Lepisosteus oculatus: one gene and its partners. The protein of the gene in region 3 purifies or fractionates together with the protein of the main gene of each other region. This does not show direct contact. Links are inferred from orthologs where the notes say so. Each region holds a gene or a part of one and is shown on either strand. Other genes may lie near its edges.

What was found.
Region 1: the proteins of rpl7l1 (region 3) and pes purify together in Homo sapiens (affinity purification with mass spectrometry; 4 studies listed by BioGRID and IntAct, counting the BioPlex papers as one, with this or other methods). This does not show direct contact. The link is inferred for Lepisosteus oculatus from reciprocal best matches to the Homo sapiens genes RPL7L1 and PES1.
Region 2: the proteins of rpl7l1 (region 3) and rexo4 purify together in Homo sapiens (affinity purification with mass spectrometry; 3 studies listed by BioGRID and IntAct, with this or other methods). This does not show direct contact. The link is inferred for Lepisosteus oculatus from reciprocal best matches to the Homo sapiens genes RPL7L1 and REXO4.

The regions. Positions count from the first base shown.
Region 1 is NC_090717.1:5,546,910-5,554,527, forward strand, and holds the start of pes (pescadillo), read right to left. Parts: upstream 3,086-7,618; 5' UTR 2,980-3,085; coding exon 2,956-2,979; intron 2,110-2,955; coding exon 2,030-2,109; intron 1,581-2,029; coding exon 1,427-1,580; intron 954-1,426; coding exon 844-953; intron 58-843; coding exon 1-57. Other genes in the region: p2rx2 (P2X purinoceptor 2), read left to right, coding at 4,309-4,448, 6,640-6,775, 7,396-7,467. UniProt on the Homo sapiens protein: Component of the PeBoW complex, which is required for maturation of 28S and 5.8S ribosomal RNAs and formation of the 60S ribosome.
Region 2 is NC_090719.1:5,369,401-5,376,334, reverse strand, and holds the start of rexo4 (RNA exonuclease 4), read left to right. Parts: upstream 1-3,886; 5' UTR 3,887-4,164; intron 4,165-4,497; 5' UTR 4,498-4,621; coding exon 4,622-4,849; intron 4,850-5,252; coding exon 5,253-5,584; intron 5,585-6,501; coding exon 6,502-6,654; intron 6,655-6,934.
Region 3 is NC_090697.1:58,535,520-58,543,230, forward strand, and holds the start of rpl7l1 (60S ribosomal protein L7-like 1), read left to right. Parts: upstream 1-4,684; 5' UTR 4,685-4,742; coding exon 4,743-4,792; intron 4,793-5,522; coding exon 5,523-5,631; intron 5,632-6,180; coding exon 6,181-6,344; intron 6,345-6,739; coding exon 6,740-6,877; intron 6,878-7,711.

The DNA of each region.
Region 1 (7,618 bases), on a different chromosome or scaffold from region 3:
AAGCACATCGAGAGGGTGTCGTCGACGTCCCGGATGGCGTCTATGAAAGTGGGGTACCTGGAGAGCGGTGTACAGGCAGTCAGCACTGGACGTGAGTGGGATTAGCTCAGCTTTTGTCTAAAACTCACTACCAAACACTGAAATCAGGTGTAGGTTCACTAACCTGCCTATGCTTCAAAACTTCCACCATGCAGTGGCTTAAGCTCATGCTAAAAATGGCTTTTTCAGTCAGATCAGAAGATAGAGAACACCATCCTAGAAGTCAATTCATTGCCTGTTTATTCAGTGGGTCTACTAATGACATATTAAAAACTGTCTCAAACCTCTTAATTTAGCCAGTGGGAGAGATATAGCTCTTTGAAATAAAAAAGGGAGGGACTCATATTCTCTGGAAAATGATTAACTTGCAAGTCTTAATGCAGCACAGGCTGTAATATTTGTTTTAAAAGCATTTTTCAATTGCTAAGCACTGATGTCTTTGGCGTGATCAAGCAGGTTAAATTAAACAAACAACCTCTCGAGAATGGAAGGCCAGTACTTGATTACAATATTTTGTCAAAACCGCACACATATCGGTTTAGACCATATAAATAAAACAGCAAATGAAAAGTTCTATATAAATGTAAGCAATTATTAATATAACATACAACATAGCAGTGGTATGGCCATCTTTTAAGCATCCTGGCCCTAAGTAGTCACGTGTACATTTTCAAATATATATGTTGATGTACAAAACACAGGATTTGCAGGTCAAAGGTTTTTTTATTGTTACTGTTGTCCCGATATCAAGCTGGTATAGCAGATGATCTCCCTCTGGTGTTTCATGCTGATCTCACAGCTCACCTCTCCTTGACGATGTGATCCAGTTTGTAGCTGGGCTTGTTCTCCTTCAGTCTTTGGACTCCAGTCCATTCTGCTTTAGCGTATGCCTTGCGCAACTTTCTCACAAAAACCTGAGCGAACACAGAGAGAGCACAGCGACGTCACCGACAACATTTTAATTGAGACTTAATGGAATTCAGAAGGAAAATTTGGGAGGGTGACAACAACCAAGTTCAACTGGACATTATCCCTTTCTCTCCCTCATATACATCTTTTTGCATCACACCTCCACCTGTGCAGCTACTCCTTAGTCAATCCTCACTCTGCATGGGGGTCCCAGCCAGCTCATCTTGTGACTAGGAGGTTGGTCCTCAGCCACATGGGTTAAGTCAAACTTTGACTAAAACACATCATAATCCTCAAATACACTGAATTCTTGGTTGTTGCTATTCCTAGGGAATCTGTTCATAGTCCATTTTGCTTTTCTTTTTGAAGACATGAGCCTGGTGCAAAACCACAGGAGACTTCCAGAGCACATACAGCACACCCCACAGATTCCTAGGTAAGATGACGGAAATGGAAAGATTAGTGGGGTTGGAGGTACCTTGTACTCCCTGAACTTTCTGACGATGGGCTCGTGCAGAAGGAAGCGGATGTCTTTGAGCAGGTAGAAGGTGCGTGGAGCTGTAGAGCCCTTGTTGACCTTCTTCTTGTGTTTGGGCTCATGGGGGTATATTCCCTTGAGAATGCAGAGGCGCCTGGAGAGAGGGAGCAGGGGGTTATTCAGGGAACAGGGGTCTGTGGGGACATCAGCACCTTAACCTCTATTGAAGAGCAGTCGGACATGAACAGCAACCCACATCAGAGCCTGACAAATCCCTGCTTCGTCAACTACTCCCTTCCACTCTGTTTTTGCTTTATTCAACTAAATGGGCCTACGGGACAAGACTCCACTGCTGACTTTTATCATAACTAACTCATATCTGTTGATATCATCAATACAACCAAGTACGACAACTTAGTCAAAGCCTGAAGAGTGAAGAAGCTGCATACTTTGTTGAGCCAGTGTTCACTCACTAACTTAAACACAATCTGACCCTTTTAAAAACGGTCTTTCATGCTTGCTCTTTTGTCGTTAAAAACTAGTCAATTAACATTAAGAAGCAATCAAAATGAAATTCAGGCAAAGTAAATACAACATTCCTACCTGAAGTCAGCCAGGCTCAGCTGCAGTTTCTTCCGTGCTTTGTTCCTGGTGATATAATTACTGGCGGATCCCCTCTCATACTGCAATGAAAGAAAAAAGATCATGAACTTAATAAAAACAAAAATGATCAAAGTCAGGGAAAGCGTTTATTTTACACGCAAGCTAAAACTCGTGCGACTCGAGACAAGGTTGATGTTTAAGTTTAATAAACATTTACTGATAGAAATGTGCATTTCAAGTAGTATAAAAATAACTTTAAACAACCGAATAATTAGTAATAGTAACATCGGGGGTTTTAAAGGATCTAAATGTCTGTCACTGAAGTTAAGGATTTTATTTCCACTATGAACTATATAGTCATGTTAAATGGACAAGAACTCTCCAGGGGTTTTACATTTCGAACAAAGTCAGTATGCAATATCACCAGAAACTTGGATATGTTTTCAAGTAACCAGAAAAAACGTTTTCATCTCCACTTCTCTTTAATTATTGAGACGGTCATTGTGTTTTATTTACTCCATAAAGTATCCACTGTATTAAACTTAAATTGATGCAAATCTAATTAATGTTGTATTCGACATGTCATGGAACTTCACGTACTGTAACATCATAAGATGTACCAGCAAAGGAGCCTTATGTATCTGAGCATACGAATCTCAATGAAGACCCTTTAAGAGATCTTATCCAGACCATTAATACATCCGAACTGCATCACCAGTGACACTAGCTTTCATTTAGCGACTTTATATCACAGTAAAATACCGCAAAATATAACATCGAGACATTACAAACGTCCTTATACGTTCTCCACAGCGACAATTCAGAAATCAGTTCATGCTGTCTGATATGATGGTAAAACCGTATTATGCACATGTTTAATAACGGAGTCCAAAAGTGCCTTCAGATAATAAAACACAGAAACATACCTTCTTCTTTTGAAGACCTCCCATTTCTACGATTTATCAGGAAAACAAACTTAATTGAACGAATAACTTTCACCACCGACAACAACCCTACATACACTCAGACACGTGTCGGATGTGCTGCACTGTAAGGACCCGTATCGTAAGGAACTGTCCTGTGTGTTGCCTGTTCACAATTCACACATCGATGGTATATCTCGCAGTTTTATGGTTTAATATAACTCTTTGAAACGTATATAATATATTTATTTAATAAAAATTAGTGTCTAAAATGTCAGTATTTCCTATCTTCACTATCTAAAAATAACATTAAAAAAGGATACGAATCGGGCGACCTACGCGTGTATGTTTTCTGGTTGGATGCTTGAAACTAGATTTTGTACGTCAGGTTGTCTGTCATAGAGGCACACAGGCATGTGAATGCTTATGAAAATATTCCTAGCTCATTAAAATTAATGTCTTATTATATACCATCGAGATTTACGTACAAAGGTTGAAAGTAAGCAAGTAGACAGGCCATTTCTGTTTCTGACGTCCACTTTGTGCTGTGTCTAGTTGTATTCACCTCAGAATTCCCGATTATGTTGGGTACTTGTCTTGTGAGACTGGTACTGTTTTACTAAATGTGTAATGTTTTTATATCCCTATTTCATAAATTGTAAGCTCTCTCTCTCTCTGGGCTTAGTTAAACATTGTGATCCACATTAATGATAGCGACGGAGTCAATTTCCCACTTGATACCATGACCATGCATTAGGAAGTGGTTACAAGCAGCTGCTACAGGGTGGAAGAGCTTTTGAGTATCAACCCTTAATGTAGTGGTTTTTAAAAGCCCTTCGTCGAAAAACGGGTTATCAGATGTTTGCTTGAACACAAGCATATTTCTTTTGTGCTACGATTTCTCTTTAGAAAAAAGACACAACTCAAGCAAAAATGGGCGATTTTTCCACTCCACAAAAGGAGATCACATCACATAGAAATCTCAACATTTTGATCCATCTGTGCATTATAAATAGCTAGTAGGAGTAAGGAATGGGTGGTGGTGGCCTGAGAGTATTCATCAAGGAATCATCTAGACCAGGACTGGAACAAGGAATCCCAATGGATTAGAAAACAGCTAACGTGATGTCATCAGAGTATGAAACACAAAAGGGGGAGGATGGCCAACATGCAAATTTAGACTGGGCACTAGGACAAGACAGGCAAAGAGATAAAGAAGAAGAGGAGATCCAGAGGTGGAGACAGAGAGTAAAATTTGCAAAGCCCAAAGGAGGAGTAAGACAGATTTAGAGCATCAGTGCGCCACACTACACCTCTGCTTCCAGAACCAGATCCCAGAGAGGAAATCTGTATACAATGGGATTAAAGGAGCTCATTAAGGACTTTTATGTTGGATTCTGGGATTATGAGACTCCGAAGATAATGGTGGTGAAAAACCAAACTCTCGGAATCATTTACAGAATTGTGCAGTTCCTGGTAATCACCTACTTCATATGGTAAGTTTAATTTGGTTCTAAAGCCTGACATCCATAAAAAGAATAATAAGTGCTTTGGCAATTGGGTGATACTGAAGTTGTTTTATGACTGACACAGTAATACAATAGTATAGAGCATTGCAGCCTGGTATAAAGACTCAAAATAAAGCAGATGTTCATATCCTTAATGTGGTTTCTAAATAACTTGGACTTCTAATGAACTCTAATGGACACTTTTTCCTTTTTGCACTCCCACAAAATGCATGAAAATGTGTGTTGGTTCCTTCTAAAATGTTATTGTAGTGCAATTTGCTATAGGCAGAGAAAGGCAAAGAGGCAGAGGTGTATCAAGGTTCAGTGAAATCATGACAAAAGCATCATAAGGCTTAAATTTTGTCACACATACTATGGTACTGTACAAATCATGGAAATCCATTCCAAAGCAATGTGGAAGCATGTTTATGGTATAGTAAAAGCATTGAAAAACTGTAAAATAAATAAAGTAAATACAGTAAATTTCCATAAGCTTTGAAATGGTTGGCAGTCATCCAAAATAAGATTCAGAAGAAAGCTTTATAAAACCATAACACACATCAGATATTTACGTATTTTTGGGTTTCAAAACACTTACTGTATAATTGTATAATTAAACAAGATATTTTAAAGGATGCCTGAATGTAACCTCATCTATAATTAATACCGATGCTGACAAAAACTTTGCTAGCCACTAATCGATTTATAACTGCAAACTCTTGGTGACTGTTACAGATCAATACATTGTAAATGAAACTACTGTCCCCGTTTCACATTTGTTTTTATAATGGTTTCCAGCAGGTCAGTAAACTGTAGGTCAGGATAAAATGCTACAGCGTTCAACATAAATCAGGAGGTACAAATAGTCTGAAAATAATGCTGTTGTTGTTGTTGTTGTTGTTGTTGTTGTTGTTGTTGTTGTTGTTGTTGTTGTTGTTGTTGTTGTTGTTGTTGTTGTTTATACTTACAATATAGAGCTCAGCATGAAATGAAATAAATATATATGGTTTGCCAACTATGTCATAGATCATAGTAACTTTCTGGGATTTCAGAGGAAATGCATTTTCAACTAATTAACATTTTATCAACATTATTTAAAAAGTATAGCTATCTGGTAATCATCCCCATTGTTCTGCATATTTAGAAGTGATATTAACATATTTGTTAATGTTCTCTCATAGTAGCCCTAATTAGGGTAATGACATGGAGGGGATGCATATGCAAGCTGCCAGAGCATGTTCTAAATTACCTAAAAGCTCTTGAACACAATCATTTTGCAAAATCCCGGGAACATTAGAAGGAAGTCATCAGAAAACGATCTTGTGCGGATAACTTTTAACACATGTGTGTCAATAAGCAGTGGCTGATCTTTCCTTTTTAACATCTTCATTTCTTTAGAAGTGTTGCCCAGAGTATCAAGATACTAATATAGCATTCACCCTAAATAAGCTATTGCTGTTTTTGTGCATCCCTAGTGGAGGAGAAATATTAACCATTAACCATCACAGATGTATGGGTTATGTTGGTGGCACAGCGGTCCAGTGGTAAGCATTACTGCCTTGCAGTGTTGGAGCCTTAGGATTGGTTCTGGACCAGGGGTGCAGTCTGTCTGGAATTCGCATACTCTCCCCAGGTCTGTAGGGAGGTGTTTCACTTGCCTCCCGCAGTTCAAAGACATACTGGTAGGTTAAGTGGCCTCTGGGAAAAGCTGGTCCTGTTGTGAGTGTGTCCGTGTCTGTGTCTTCTGTGTGTCCTGCGATGGACTGCGTCCTGTCCGGGGTGTATCCCACCTTGTGCCCATTGCTTGCCAGAGTAGGCTCTGGCTCTCCTGCGATCCAGAGTCGGATGAGGTGGTTATAAAATGGAAGGATGGGTGTTAGTATTCTTGATAGTGATGGTAAATAGGCATCTATTTACTGATGATTACATTCTGAACCTTCTAGTATTGTTGGCATTTATCCCTGGACAGGTTTCCTATCTTTTGCTTTCAACACAGAGAAATTTAATAGAGTTTTGGATCAAATGTGGTATATTTCTGTGTATCAGTGTTATTTTGTCCTCCTTGACATCATGCAATCCAAAGAGCCCCACAAGACCGACAGTATGAAGGGTGCTGCTGTGGATTCTGCACACTGCTCAAAGGGGCACATCCAGAACACCTCTTTGGCTTCCCTGACAGGTATGTGTTCATCAGTCAGAAGGCCTACCAAGAGAGTGAGACGCGCCCAGAGAGCTCCATCTACACCAAGATGAAGGGGGTCGCCCTGGTGGGGGACACTGTGCAGGATGTGGTGGAGTACGTCAGGCCGTCGGAGGTAAGACCTGTCGCCAGCGCTCCTACACGGCCACCGACAGAATGAGGGCGAGGAGCACTGCGGCTTATCCCTCAGACTGTCGCCCGGAGACGCTGACTTCTATGTCTTTCAGTTGCTGATGCATCACAGAGCAAGAGAAGAAAAAAAACCCACATAAACGTGTGATATCCTAAGTTGCACCATCCATATGTGCAGCTGAAGAGTTAATGAGTTCATTTATATTACATATAAAAATATAGATGGATATCTTTTCTTATCTTTCAAGCCTGTTACTAGAGAATTTTCTTTTTAGATAGTTTGGGTTTAACCTGATCCCTTTTTCAAGTGTACCGTACGTATAACTCAGTTCAGTTTATTTGTCATACCCACAAGTGCAATGAAATGCTTACCACTGGGCTGCTTTATGGTGATTCATTATGTTTTGGGCTCAACCCAGACAACTTGAAAGACGATTCTTTCCTATCCAGGGGGGCTGTTTACTGAGAGAAATTCCCAATTCCTCCACCCTACACTGCAGGCTGGCCCTGAGCTGTCTCCTTTGGGACACACAGACATATCCTCCAGTGGGAAATCCCAGGCCAGGGGAAATAATGGACCGCTTTTCCTTGTTTCCTACTCAGGGCGGTGATGTCATCAGCTCTATCCTACGGAGAGAGATCACGATTGAGCAGAGGCAGGGTGTGTGTGCAGAGGTAAGGCCAGACTGCAGCCTTCAAGGCTCTCCTGTTAAGAGGGTCATCCCAGACCTAGAAGCACGACAGCAACAAACTCCTTAATGATTAAATCACACAATGTGACAAGAATATTGACAAAATTCAGTGGAATAATGAAGCAGCACATTCT
Region 2 (6,934 bases), on a different chromosome or scaffold from region 3:
GGAATAAAGGTATACCTTCTCTTGTTTGAAAATAGAAGCATTCTTTTCTATTTTATCGAATGTAGAGAATGTAATTCGGTCAATTGGATGTCTTTGCTTTACATGTGCATGATGCTGACCTTAAACACTATAATTCTAATTCACCTCAAATGCTACTATTGCTTGATTTCTTTACTGGATTACAAAAACAGACAGGTCGTTAAGCGGAAATAAGACCGCACTTTAAACTTGATGCGAAGTCAAAGGTTCAAGGTTAGTATCAACCATTTTTAGAAAACAGCTTCCATGTCCCAAACCCGATTTATATCAGTTTAGCACTTTCGTTACTCCTCCTGCACAACCTCAGCTTCACCAGATCGGGCCTGACGACTCGTTTGCAAAAACTTGTGCTCTTCTCCCGCTCTTCCTGTTACCGATACCACGCTAGACATTGCAGCACAAACCGCAGGGCACAGCCTTACTAATGATATCCTTAGTCAGACTGCCCCTAATTCGCTTAATTGAAGGCTAAATAAAGCAATCACGTCAATCAAACCACCGCATATTCATCTGCAAAGCTTTATTTTGTGTTATAAAATGTCAGTTTGTGGATTACGTAATTGAGAAGCCTGCATTTATAATATGAAAAGAAAAACCCAAGAAAACAATGTCATTTTGTGGATTGATAATACAAATCAATGCTTCATAAATATGTAATGCAACGTAAAATATGGCATTGTATTTTCAAGCGAGCAAACAGATCAATTGGGTAAGGCAATTAACATCCAAAAGGAATTAGGTCCAAGTTAACCCAAACGACATTCATTTTTCTTATTTGACTGGTTTGGTCAATTCGTCAGATCACCTCATTGGTTGAAGATCTGATACTTTACCAACTGCTGAATACCAGCTCCAACTATTCATAGCAATTTTCCGTCCTTGCTTAAGGCATGGCGCTTGACGTTATGAAAATTTTCAGCGTTCCTTTCCAAGAAGGTCGATGTGTTTACTCTTTGATCCTACCTCTTGTAAATTCTTGCAAAGACAGAAGGGTGCAAAAATGTCCCATCTTTTGTAACCTGCGATTAAGTGTATAGTCTACCCTTCTACAAGGAATGCAATCAGGACAAAAGCACAAACTCGAAAAAAATAATTTAGCATAATTACCAAGGGATGCGTATTCATGTTAGTCTACGTGCTTTGTTTTCGTACGTACTGTAGTTATATGTAATCTATGTTGTGTAATCTATGTTTCAGCAACCACATTTTTAATAGAACAGAAGTTTGGATCTATTAATATAGCGGCAATAATTTAATGATAGCTACTGTCAAAAATAAGCTCTTATGCTTTAAACAATATAAATAATATTTTATAACTGTACTGTAATGATAATGCTAATTAACCGAGAACTCAAAGTACTGTACGTCTGACATCTAAGCTTGAACATAGTCAAATCAAACCTGCTGAGAAAGACATGGAGCTGTCACGCCCACTCCGTTATTTAAAAATATCAAACTGACTCAACAATCTTTATCGATTTTAAGAGCAGAAGAAAACCCGGGGATTTTGTAATTAAAACGCTTTAGCTATACTGTAGGTTAATGTGTATACAGTATTTTGACTTCAAATGCAGCAGAACGCACGACACACGACTGCAGTGTGTGATTACTAGTAACTACGCAATGTAGACAAATGCCGTGTATTTTTGTTAAACTACGCATAGATCAAATAAAAGATGTTCATTATATTCGAGCACATTCGATTTTTCTTCGTCTCGGTTATTTAATATGGTCAGACTAATCATACACTGTTATGCCTGTACCGTCGGGAAATCCAGATTGCTCTCTCGGTACCTGCAGATGACCATTTGTAAAGATCATTTGGTAAACTGGTGCAAATGAACTTATCCAACTCTGTGGGACAGTCTGCTCTGTCCTACCATGACTTCTTGCAAACACTGTTACTGCACAACATCTCGCAAAGGCGGCATGCTTTTCTTTATGTTTTTTTATCATTTCTAGTTGTATTACCATGGAGATACATTGTATACATTGGAGATTCTATTGTATAAAAAGCACTGTAATGCTTCTGAGAAGGCACAAATCTGCAGAAAAGATTCTCGTCTGTAACCACCGCATTAGCTAGCTAATGCTAATGTTAGCTTTACACATCCGCCACCTTTCAATAACAGCAAAAATAAAACGCGTGTCAGAAGTATAACATTAATGGTATCAGAAAGAGCAGTTAATTTGTCTTCAATTCAGTCTTTTTCCAGTTGTAGATTAAATTCATCCACAAATCATGTAGCCCCATTGCACAATACCGTGAAACCGTTATCTCCACAATACAGCTTAACTAAAATAATGACAAAAAATACCTACCCATAGCTCTGTCCCCCAGCTCATGGTTTCAAGACGATCGTCTCTTTATAATCCACGGTTTCCAAGGGCTTTTCAATAGTTGAGTCAACAGTGAGTTTGATAATGTTTGAGGTCTTTATTCCGCCTATTATATCTTCCTTAACTCACCTCCTCATTCTGTTTCTACAAAATGGCCAGGAACTGCTGCACAGACTAGAGCACCATGCGGGCTCCCGCGCCGTCCAATGACAGCTGCGCGGGGACGCGCACAGAGGGGAAAGTCAAAATAACGTTGAAGCGATGAGGTGTGCTGCAGAAATCGGGGGGTATTCTAATGCTAATCGAAAGCTGATGCTACCCTGTGAGTGTTTTTGCGCGGGCGAAGGACTCAGATGGTTTAAAAAAATATTATTCTAATCACTTTAGTGTTGGGTTCACGAATGCGGAGAAGCTTTTACAACGCAAGGTTTACTTCGGTTAAATGACCTTTTCCTGTTGTTGTATTCAAGCACGCCACTGTCTTGAGTACACATGTGGACGCGAGTGATGCTTGCACCACAGTCGAGAACGCGCGATTTGCCTGCGTCTCACACCTCTTATTTATCAGACAGCCGAAGAGAGCACGCCGCAGAATTAAGACCACCGACCATGGAGACCCGTTGTTCTTTATTTTTCTTCTTGAAACAAAAAAACGGTCATATTTGAAAGATAAATACTTAATGCATATTTATATACAGTACAGCCCTCATTTTCTCTAAAGGATCTACAACGTTTATGCACGTAGAGGCAGAGGAACATAAGAAGAGAAAATGCATTTCCCTTAAAAAAAACTGACAGCTGCAATTGTGTTTTCATTTTGAATAAGTATCAAGTCACAAGTCTTGTATTAAGGAAAAAGTAATAGATTTATTTCATGAGAAGAAAGAAAACACAACGTTTCGGCTGTGGAACCTTCTTCGGGTGACGCGAGTCTTGAATTGAGTCTTGTTTTTTATCAGCCTGTCTGATTCAATGGGCCGTGCAAAATAAATTTAAAATCACGCTTTTAAAATAATTCCAATGATATACCAACGACTGTTGTAACTATTTTCGCTATTCGCTGATCAAAAGCGTGCTAAATACAGTATACATTAAAAACTGAAGCGTACTGTAGTCTTAAGCAGTCTTTGCACGAGTGGAAGGGCGAACAGCGTCATCTATCGACTTGAAGTTACACAGTGAGAAAATCCGTTGACAGATTTGGTCAAACTATTTAGCTCATGCACAAATACGGTCATGCTACCGTTCTCTGTGTTGTTTCCATTTCTAAATACTTGTTGATGCAGTTGTTCGAGTCATGTGTGTTCTTTGGAACAAAACGAAATACAGCAAATTGTTAGGTGTCAAATTTAAAGGTCAGGTCTTCTAGAATGTAATATTAATGCAGATTTGAAAGATTTATTAAAAGCCTACAATCCTACAATTCCACTATCATACATGTACGTTTGTTATTTAAATATAACTATTTTAAGTAGTTATAAAAGTGAGAAATATTTTAGATTAGATGTTTTCCATATTAAGTACTAACATCAATCGTAATTATTCCCAGATCCATGTGTTAAATACAAACCACTGAATTTCTGTGCTCCATACATGCTAAAGAATCACGTTATTCAAATGAGGTTTCTATGAAATCGGAATTAGTTATATTTTTTGCACTTTCGTTTGACCGGACCCGTCATGGTGTGCACAAGGTTTTTGTTTCTAGGGAACACTAATTACCGCCGGACATAGCGGAAGTAGTACAAGCAGCATGGAATTCATATGGGGAGGAATGTTGTGTTGGTAAGTTCGTGTACTGTATATGCGGTAGTTTGAAGTAATCTGAACAGATCAGCTTTAAAATTAAACAAATTTCATCATACAGCAAAGGCGATAACTGTCATTTTAAGTTATAGTTGATTTCATTTCGAAAGTATTTGGCTTCGGTTACATGTGCTTACGCTGCAGTGTACAGACACTGGAACATTTGATATTGCTAATTGTATCTTTGCAAACATCAATAAATGTTTAAGGTAGTTTACTATGCAAAGGCAACGTGATTGTCTCTCAGTTAAATTGGCCATTTTAAAATACCACATGCATTACTAGTTACTTTTGTCTCTTGTATTTTTGAAGTGTAACAGAAGCAGTGGTAAATTAAATATTTGCGGCAAGCAAATCTGGACAGATAATACCTTAATAACCCTGTGTGAGAGACTTCGTTTTGACTTGGAGCTACCTGACAGCAGTCGCGGAAATCATGTCAGGAGTGAAGTTACAGGGTGTTGATAAGGCGGCTGTGACCAAGACCCGTGGACCTAAACCAGAGGAAAAGAAAAACAAACGTCGCCTCAAGGAAAAGAAGTCCAAAAGAAAGGTGGAAAATGGACACTTAAAGAAAAAAAAGAAGGGAGGAGCTAATGTGAATTTCATACTGCCTCCCAAGGATTCTCAGCAGTTTTCATCTAACTGGAAAGCGCTGCAAGAGGTAGGAGAAATATTTCAGGATACTAGTTACAGAAACGTATTTAGTAATCAACTTTGATATTTTTGCAGAGTAATTTGGTTAGTTACATTGTATTTTATGCCTGTATATCCCAGGGTGTTGTAAGTTAATTGCACCAAATGCAGTAATGAATATGAATGGACTTCAGTTGTTTGCCTGTTGTAACTACCTTCCAAGTGACTCTAGTACACAATCCAGAATGTGGCATTTGAAAATGTTTTCAGCTGAATCTAAGACACCTTTATACTGGTAATTAACACTTTCTTTTCGTAATTCCGGCATGTTGACTTGTACAAGCTGGAATTGTATGCAAGCCTGTTCATATTTTCACTTACAAAAGTACATGTGATATTCTGCCTTTTTTCATTTTTGTCCTATGAATTAGCTGCTTAATCAGAAGAAAGAGACAGAAAATCAAGAGGCTGAATCTACTAGAGCACAACAGATATCCAAGAAAGAGACAAAGAAGCCTAAGAAGCACCCTAAAGAGCTTGCAGTTAAAGATCAAGGTAGCGGGGAATCCCAGGATCACCGTGGGAAGCAAATTATAGACTGTCCCTTGCCTTCCACCTCCAAGCTAAATGGGGATGCTGTCCCAACACCCCAGGAGAAAAGGAACAAAGAAAAGAGGAAAAAGGAGCTTGTACCCAAAGAGACAAATGAAAAGGGATGTAAAAAAAGAAAAATTGAGATGTCCACTGAGATCAAACTGAGAGAGTAAGTCAGGGGCCTTAAATAAGAGTGCCTTGATCTTATGTCAAGCAGGTTCAGTTGGTTTAAAGTTTTGGAACATAAAGATGTTTTAGTGTCCACATGAAGTACAGCCAGACAGTCTTGTCATACCATGCCTTGGTTGGTTGGCAAGCTAATTATTACTAGCAAGTGCCTCCATTTTATAATAATAATAATAATAATTGCTTACACTTATATAGCGCTTTTCTGGACACTCCACTCAAAGCGCTTTACAGGTAATGGGGACTCCCCTCCACCACCACCAATGTGCAGCATCCACCTGGATGATGCAACAGCAGCCATAGTGCGCCAGAACGCTCACCACACATCAGCTATCAGTGGGGAGGAGAGCAGAGTTAATGTAGCCAATTCATAGAAGGGGATTATTAGGAGGCCATGATTGGTAAGGGCCAATTGGAAATTTGGCCAGGACACCGGGGTTACACCCCTACTCTTTTCGAGAAGCGCCCTGGGATTTTTAATGACCACAGAGAGTCAGGACCTCGGTTTTACGTCTCATCCGAAGGACGGCGCCTGTTTACAGTATAGTGTCCCCATCACTATACTGGGGCATTAGGACCCACATGGACCACAGGGTGAGCGCCCCCTGCTGGCCCCACTAACACCTCTTCCAGCAGCAACCTTAGTTTTTCCCAGGGAGGTCTCCCATCCCAGTACTGACCAGGCTCACACCTGCTTAGCTTCAGTGGGTTGCCAGTTGTGAGTTGCAGGGTGATATGGCTGCTGGCTTAATTTTGCTTTGCAGGAGATGCTAGCTGAAAGTTGTCTACTATCTGTGAGCAGCTCTTACGATAAAGAGTCAAAAATTCTCTGTTGATGTCAACGTTGTTTCTACATCATTGATTTTGGTGGCTTGAGAAATTTGCTATTTTGATTGGCAGGGAGGATATCTGGTTTGATGATGTTGACCCAGATGACATAGAGGCTGCCATAGGAGCAGATGCGGCGGAGATAGTGAGGAAGAAGCTGGGAATAAAAAAGTCTGAACCCCAGACAGTAGACAGTGTACTGGTGAAGGATTGTGCATTTGAAGGGTAAGTTGACTGAACTTTCTTGTTTTTCTTTTAGTCTTTCTTTGCTGCCTGTAATTATTTTTGGGTGTTTGCCTTTTATGAAATGTAAATTCTAAATCATATAATAAGATCGTGATGCGTAATCTTGAGGACTGAGATTAAGTTTGGTCCATCATCAGTTATACTGTATATATATATTTGTAATGCATGAGTAGTTCTGAAATCAAGAATGTATTGTAAATAGATCTAGTCTTTTGCAGAATATTTCTTTTTTTTTTGGTTACAATGAGAAAGTCTCTAC
Region 3 (7,711 bases):
AACTGCTCATATTAAATCAGGAATAGTATCTCTTTGACCCTTCTCCAATTACATCGCCACAATTTGAGTTTTCACTCCTTATCCATAGTCTTTGTCTTTTGATCCACACAGCAGTTCTTAATCTAAAAAATAAATAGTAAAAAAAATAAATAAAAGTATCACATCATCTTCATTGAATGTCTACAGCTGTGTAAAAAGCCTTCTGAAACTCTATAATCTATTTGTGTATCAATTATTGGTGTTGTGTCAACTCTTATAAATAAGTTAACCAAAACCTTACCTTTTCTCAATCCAAGCTGACTGTTCCCCGGAATACAATTAGTTATAATTAATTGCATGTAACAAAATGACAGATAACAGAATTATTGGTCTACAATTACTTTGTTCAACAACTTTCCTTTCAATGGGTATCACTCCTGTTTTGAGTGAACTGTTGGAAAGGTTCTGCTAATGACCTACAAATAATATCTCTTTGTACTGTTGCTTGAATCTCATCAGGAGATTTGTTTATTATTTGTGCTTCTAATGTTTCTTTATTAGCCCTACACAATTTCTTGCATTAGGAATGCGTCTTTTCGCATACCCCAGCTTTTCTCTATGGAGACACAGACACAGAGACAGGGAGAGAAGCTTGGGGTCAGAGCGCAGGGTCTGCCATTGTACGGCGCCCCTGGAGCAGTTAGGGTTAAGGGCCTTGCTCAGGGGCCCAACGGAGTAGGATTCCTCTGCCGGCCGCGGGATTTGAACCGGCAACCTTCCGGTCACAGGCGCAGATCCTTAACCATAATACCAGTGGCACACCGACTTCTTCTATGCAAATATTGTTTAATGTAGAACCTTGTCTTTCCTCAGTCTGAGGCATGTTGTTCTAGTGCTCTCTTGACATTTCTAATATCATTTTTACCTGTGCTTAAAGTTTACTAAATTCATTTTCTTTAACTAGATAGCTTTGAAAGTATTTCGTTTCTATATGTATTTTACATATCATTAATTGATATGTATCAGTTACATACATGTAATTATATCAATTTGGAGCCGTGGTAGCTCAGACGGCAAGGGCGTTTTGCTCCTGACTGGTCCTGGGTTCAATCCCAGGTAGGGGCAAGCGATGTAGCTTGCTCTAATTCCTTCCAGACAGCTCCCAGTTCCACTCCAAATGAGTACCAGGGGTTAATCCATCCGGGGGTAATAGGCCAGCCAGAGCGTGAAACTGACCACATCACCTCCACCTCCAGTGTCGGATGGTTGAGAAAAATGGTGGCCCTTGCCCCTCCTATTTCCCCATGGACCTTTATGGCCTGAAAAGGCGACCAACCCTACCTATCTAATTATATCAATTACAGTACATATATGCCTTCACAGTATTATTCACACGTACAGATAGCAGCATTATTATCACACAATGAAATCTTCATTTTTCTTGGCACAGGAGCAGATCTTGATTGTCCCTGGTTACTTGTTTTTATACTGTTTCCTGTATTTGGCAGTTATAAAACCACAGACTTTTTTATAAACAGCTGTTCATTTAGTTAACTCTCGATTAGTCAAAACGGGTACAATTTAGTGTGTGAACAAGTGCTAAAAGAAAGCAAAGGACAAAACTTGAGGGTGCTGTCATTTTAAAAAGGTGTCAGAAAATGTTGTGTTTAAACAATAGTGAATGTTCTTTGATGTTCTTTTATGCATGTTAAGGACTGGTCAAATGTAAAACCACTTAGTGTAGCTTTTCTGGTGTGTCAGAATTTATTTTAAAGTAAAGGGGCGGTGCGGTGGCTAAGGATCTGCGCCTGTGGCTGGAAGGCCACCGGTTTGAATCGCACGGCCAGCAGAGGACTCCTACTCCATTGGTCCCCTGAACAAGGCCCTTAACCACAACCGCTCCAGGGGTGCTGTATTAAATGGCTGACCCTGTGCTCAGACCCCCTGTCTGTGTCTCTCGTGGAGAGCAAGTTGGGGTATGTGAAAAGACAAATTCCTAATACAAGAAATTGTATATGGCCAATAAAAATGATCTTATCTTACCCTGATATTCACTCTCTTTGTCATTCACTCTGACCTGAAAACTGACAAGGCTGCCTGTTTGCCGATTACTCATTCAAACTGACACATTTGTCCATCTGCCTGTCTGGCACCATTCATGCATCACATTTCATTAAATAAACAAGCCATGTGGAACAGAAAGATATACAGTATAGTCCATATAGAGCTAACAAAAACAGCCTTCATCTGATAACACCTACACAGCATATACATTTCACCCATTGTACGTTATTCCTATTTGAGGATTATATGGTTAACATTGCACTCTTTTTTGGAAAACAAATCATTTAACCACAACATTCATCCTTTATCTTGTGTATTTACCATTACATCCTGTTGTTACAAAAAGTGGTTTTGTGGCAACAGCTTAAATACAAGTATTTTTTCAAAGTTAAATAATAACATACTCCCACTGGTCAGGGAATACTGACAAAGGTCATTTGACTTCTTTAATTTTTCATGAACAATCTAGTAGCAGAGAAATATGCAATAATTGCAAAGATGAGTGTTAATGACAGAACACAACACAAAAAAACTATATTTTGAACTGTAATGAGGTCTTAGAGCCCAACAAATTACATCCAACCTCTGTCATCAGATCCCTAACATTAACTACAACAATGCAGTCAGAAGTGTACCTAAATGTTTAAGAGAAAGTAGGTCTGGTTTCATAAAAGGACTAATCTTCCACAGGTTAGCCTGTCCTCTAAACTGATAATAAAATAGTGGAATTGTTTGGCCTCTAATAAGAATGCTTGCAATTAATCAACAGTAAGAATTTCATAAATTTTCATCAAGAAAAACAAAGTGCAGATTAATTAGTGCTTCTAAAAATAAATAAAAAAACTGTATCTTTCCTGAATATTTCCTTAAACTTTGACTTAGTGTCCCTTCAGTGCCCAGTGTAAGGCAGATGTTGGTTCCTTAAAGACAATGTAGTAGAACTGTGTTGTAAAGTTGTCACTGACTCTTTTCTGCTACAGTACATATCCTTCTTCTCTTTTTAAAAAAGTTATGTCATCTATTTAAGCATAGCACATTGTCACATAAGATGCTGGTCATCTTCTGGAAATTCCAGCCTCAGAAGTTGTGGTGCTGTTTGGTCTCCTCTCAGTCGTGGTCTGCTTAATTCATTAAAAATCACTGAGTTTCTGGACTGCTTATCCAGATGCTCAGATATGTTTTAACAGATACACTTTCTCTCAGCACCCACAGGGCTCTTGAATCATCCTGAGTTGTTGTGTGTTTACTTAGATAGGTACTTTATTGTCCACTACTGTGGAAATTTGCCTTTGGTTTCTCCCATAAATGTACAAAACGCACAATTAAAACATAAAAGTCACATAAAATAATATGAAGTACATTAAATCACAACAACACTATGTAATACATAAATGGATAAATGAATAGGTATTAGGGGGACTATATTTACGTACATGAGCAGTTTTATTACAGAGGGGACAAAAGACTTCTTACTGTATAGATGTTTTTATTTGAATTTGGTACCCTCTACAGTCTTCCTGATGGGAGCATTATGAATTGAGGGTGGAGAAGATGCATGGAATCTGTTTTGATGTTCCTCACCATTCTGAGACCTGTATTATTGTTAGGTGCACATTGTCTGTGTTCTCGTGTGTCCTGCAATGTGTCTTGAAGTGTGGCATTTGTTAAGAGAGCAGAGAATCCAATCTAAGCTGTAAATCCTCCTCTCATTAACAAGATGCTGTTCTCACTTGCTATTTAGGGAACTTTGATGAGTTCTCAGTCTAGGCTGTAACTGACTTCCCTAGAAATAATTCTTTAATGGCTTTACTCCAGCAAAATGGCTTTAATGAAGACTCCAGCTCTGTAAGTGAATTTACTCCTCCCTGGTTTCCAATCTTTAGTTTAAGAACCCCAGAGAGATAAAAAAAAAGTGGACAGCATAGCAACTAAGATTGTTGCTATTGGACATAATTAATTTCTTAAGACCTGGGACATTTTTACTGTGATCATCAAGTCAGGTGACCCAATCAATTAATTTACAGATTATTTGGTACAAAAACCTTTCGCCCTAAAGGACGAACCACCCATCCAGTTTTAATAACCACTTAATCCAATTTAGAATTGTAGTGAGCTAGATCCTAACCTGGCAGACAATCGCTGCAAGGCACAATATACTCTGGATGGGACACCACTCCATCATGGCACAGAATTTAAAGGTTCTGACAAACCTACAGTAGACATTTTATCCTGTAGCACAGAAGGGCAAGCAGCCTCCGCAAAGACAGCACCTCATGCCTGAACTAAGTTTAGGATCCAAGAGCTGTGAGTCAGAAAAACCTAACAGCCTCTGCTCTTCACTCTCAAGGACCAGAATTCTCACAAATGAGCACATTACCCGCTAAACTGATCAACAAAACTAAAAATATTCATAATCTTTTGAAAAACAGGTGAATTTGGGTTCTGGTTAGGACTTAACCATGAACGTTTCCAGGACTGGGGTTGAAGACTCTGGGTTTTCTGGAAGTTAAAAAGTTTTGTAGTTTTATGTAAAGTTGGAAGGGCAAAGACCACGTTTTGTACACGTGATTGATTAAATTGTGTCATTTGTTATGTTTTTGGGTATATTAGCTCACTCAAACCGGCAGTGGAGTACATCAGAATGCAGTACTGCTGGAGGTCAGAGGGTGGCGTAAACACGTGGAGAGCAAACTTAGTGGATGAGTGACATCATTTGTGTGCGACAGGTTGGAAAGATGGCAGATTCGGAGTAAGTGAAGTGTTTGCGTTATAAAATCTAAGTTAATCTTCATTAATAATGCATAGTTTCATCATTTCGTTCTGAAACATATGTTCACTGAAGTTAATCGATTATTTTAGTGTGTATATTTTTGCATTGCGACCTAAGCTTTTCTCGGTGAGGTTAAGACGGCTGTTCCCCCATACCTGATATCTAAATGTAGTTCTTTTTTTTTGTTCTCGAACATTTTTTAGAGATGTCGAATTTCCCTGAGACCAATTAATAGATATCATTAAGAGAGAAAATATCGTGCTTGTTTGTTTGAGAGACACTGCTTCTAAATTAAGTACTTCTACGTAAAAGATGGTGAAGGGTACCTGAACTCGTGCTTTATAAAGTTGAGGCGCAGTACTTTAACATTTGCAAACCTTTCTTGTTCCCCAATGTTTAATTGCAGACAGTGCTCTTTTTTAAATGAAACGTTCGGGACCGTTTGAAAAACAGACCCAAATCTTCAGGTTGTATGGACATATATAAATCCCGCTGCTTCTCTACTAATGTAGTTTGTGTGTACCTTGAGAAGGACAGCATGTTTATCAGATTGCTTTTACTCGGACCTTATCGATGTCGATGTGTTGAAATGTCCACAAGGCGGCTGAACTTTGATGCATAAATGTCAGAGAACAAGTGAAACGCATAGAGGACGATCTGGTTTTGTTTCAAACATTCTTCCTGACTTTGTCTGCAATTTGGTCCTTAGGGTGAAAAAGAAGATCAAATTTGTCCCCGAGAACCTCCTGAAGAAGAGGAAGACCTATCAGGCCATCAAAGCCAATGAGGCCAGACGTGCTCTTCTGGAGAAGAAAAAGGTAGGCTGGCATACAAATCTGTGAAAAACTGTCATGTTTACATTCATGGAAACAATAGAAATGAAAATCTTTTAACCTGCATGGGAGAAAGAGGAATATTCTGCCACAACAGAGAAGAGGAAATTCATTGCTGTTGGAAGGTTACAATACAATTCACTTCACGTCGTGGTAGGGTGACAATTTAAAACTTTAGGTGGAAACTTTCTTACCTCATTAGCCATAAGTAGTGGAAGAAAACCATGTCCTTAATAGATATTTTTAGAGAATTTTTTTTTTCAAAATGTTTTGGAATCTGTTTTTGTAATGTATTTAGGGACTAAAAAAGAGCTTCCTGTGTGTGGTCCTCTTGACAGTCATTTCTCTGCAGCGTTTAGTGCTGAATCCATGAAAAGTAATTTGTAAACTGAGAGCTTCACAGCCTTTTTCACTAAAGAAAGTGAATTTCTTAATTCAGTCCTCATCTTTTTTTAAGGAGCGGTTAGGCGAGAGTTAGTGCTGTACTTGTCTATTTTATCCCTGTTTTCTCAAAATCCTGTGTTACCCGGATAGCTACAGCGAGGCAAGACCCTGAAGTTCAAGCGTCTGGAAGAGTTCCTGTGGGACAGCCGACGGAAGCACCGTGATGAGACACGATTGAGAAGACAGGCCGCACGACCTGCTCCTGTTATCCTACCCAACCAGAAACGCCTTGCCTTCGTTGTCCGCATCAGACAGTACGTCTTGAAGGGCATCAGTGCCACGTTCTCTAACTCCATTTCTTTCCCTTCCCTTTTTGCCTTTGGTGCAAGAAATAGTGCTAACATTAAATCCTAAAGACGTCCATTTTTTAAGAGATGTCTAATGTATTAAGAAATAAAAAAAATCACTCACCTGCATCTTACCAAGTTCTATAACAGCAAATTTTCCAATTTCCTTTATTTTAGTTGTGAAGTAAAATTAAAATCAAAACAGCCTTGCTTGCCATACACTGATATCTAGTGAATGAATGGTCATTTTTTAAAACAGACCTTTGAAGCTAACCACAAATCTTCTTTATTAGTTCTATCTTCCTGTGATAAGTAATGTCTGGTCAGAAGAATTGCTTTAAGTTTATCTCATCTGTGTGCAGGATTAGGGGTGTCAGCCTTAAGGTCATGAAGGTAATCCAAATGTTGCGGCTCAGGAAGATCTTCAGCGGCTCTTTTGTTAAAATCAACAAGACCTCCCTAACTATGCTGAAGGCTGTGGAGCCGTACGTAGCCTGGGGGTGAGTGAGAATATCCGTGGACTGTTTACGTTTCACTATTAAGGTTTTGTTAAGTCCTCTGGAGTTTTTAATGCCGGGTGAAATAGCTCAATAAGGAAACTGCAACACTATTTTCATATCTTGGAATTAGAAAGAATCAGCATTGATGAGTGCATTTCAAATTGCGATAAAAGTAAAATGTACACCATAACATTTACATCACAAAATAAATGAAATTTCCAGGTATGCGCAGCACCATATTCTGCGATTCAGAATGAGGTAACAAAACCTCCTGGGGCGTCTTCCAGCCCTACTGCATTGTAAAGAAGCAGACTTGTGAATGCATCTCTTTTAATCCAATAGAAATATTGCTCTCAATTTCAACACGGTTTGTGCTGACAAATGCCGCTTGTTAACTCTGCATGCAGATCACGTTGGAACGTTCCTGCTGTGAAATGTCTGCTGTACAACCTGTGCTTATTCGCTCGTACATCACATTACATCATTACAGTGAATACTGAGCAGGAAGGGTTGCTTCACCTGGCAATCCGTGAGAACTGTCGCTCTTACCCTTAAACCAAGGGTTTGCGACAAGCATGGCAACTTTAAATACTCTCATGAACTTCATGATGTTGTGCTTGATTTTAAATTTGTTGAATTTTTCTATAATGTCAATGAATTTATCTTGTTACCGAGATTTAATAACTGGTCTGAGATGTTCGGAGTGCATTTCCTCTCATGTGCCTCTGGTTCTTCCCAGCAGGGGGCACCCTAACACTTTATTTGGTTAGATTTGCTACGATATGGACTGCTCAAGCAGGCAGTTCCCAGAGCATTTCCCAGTCTTGGAAAGCT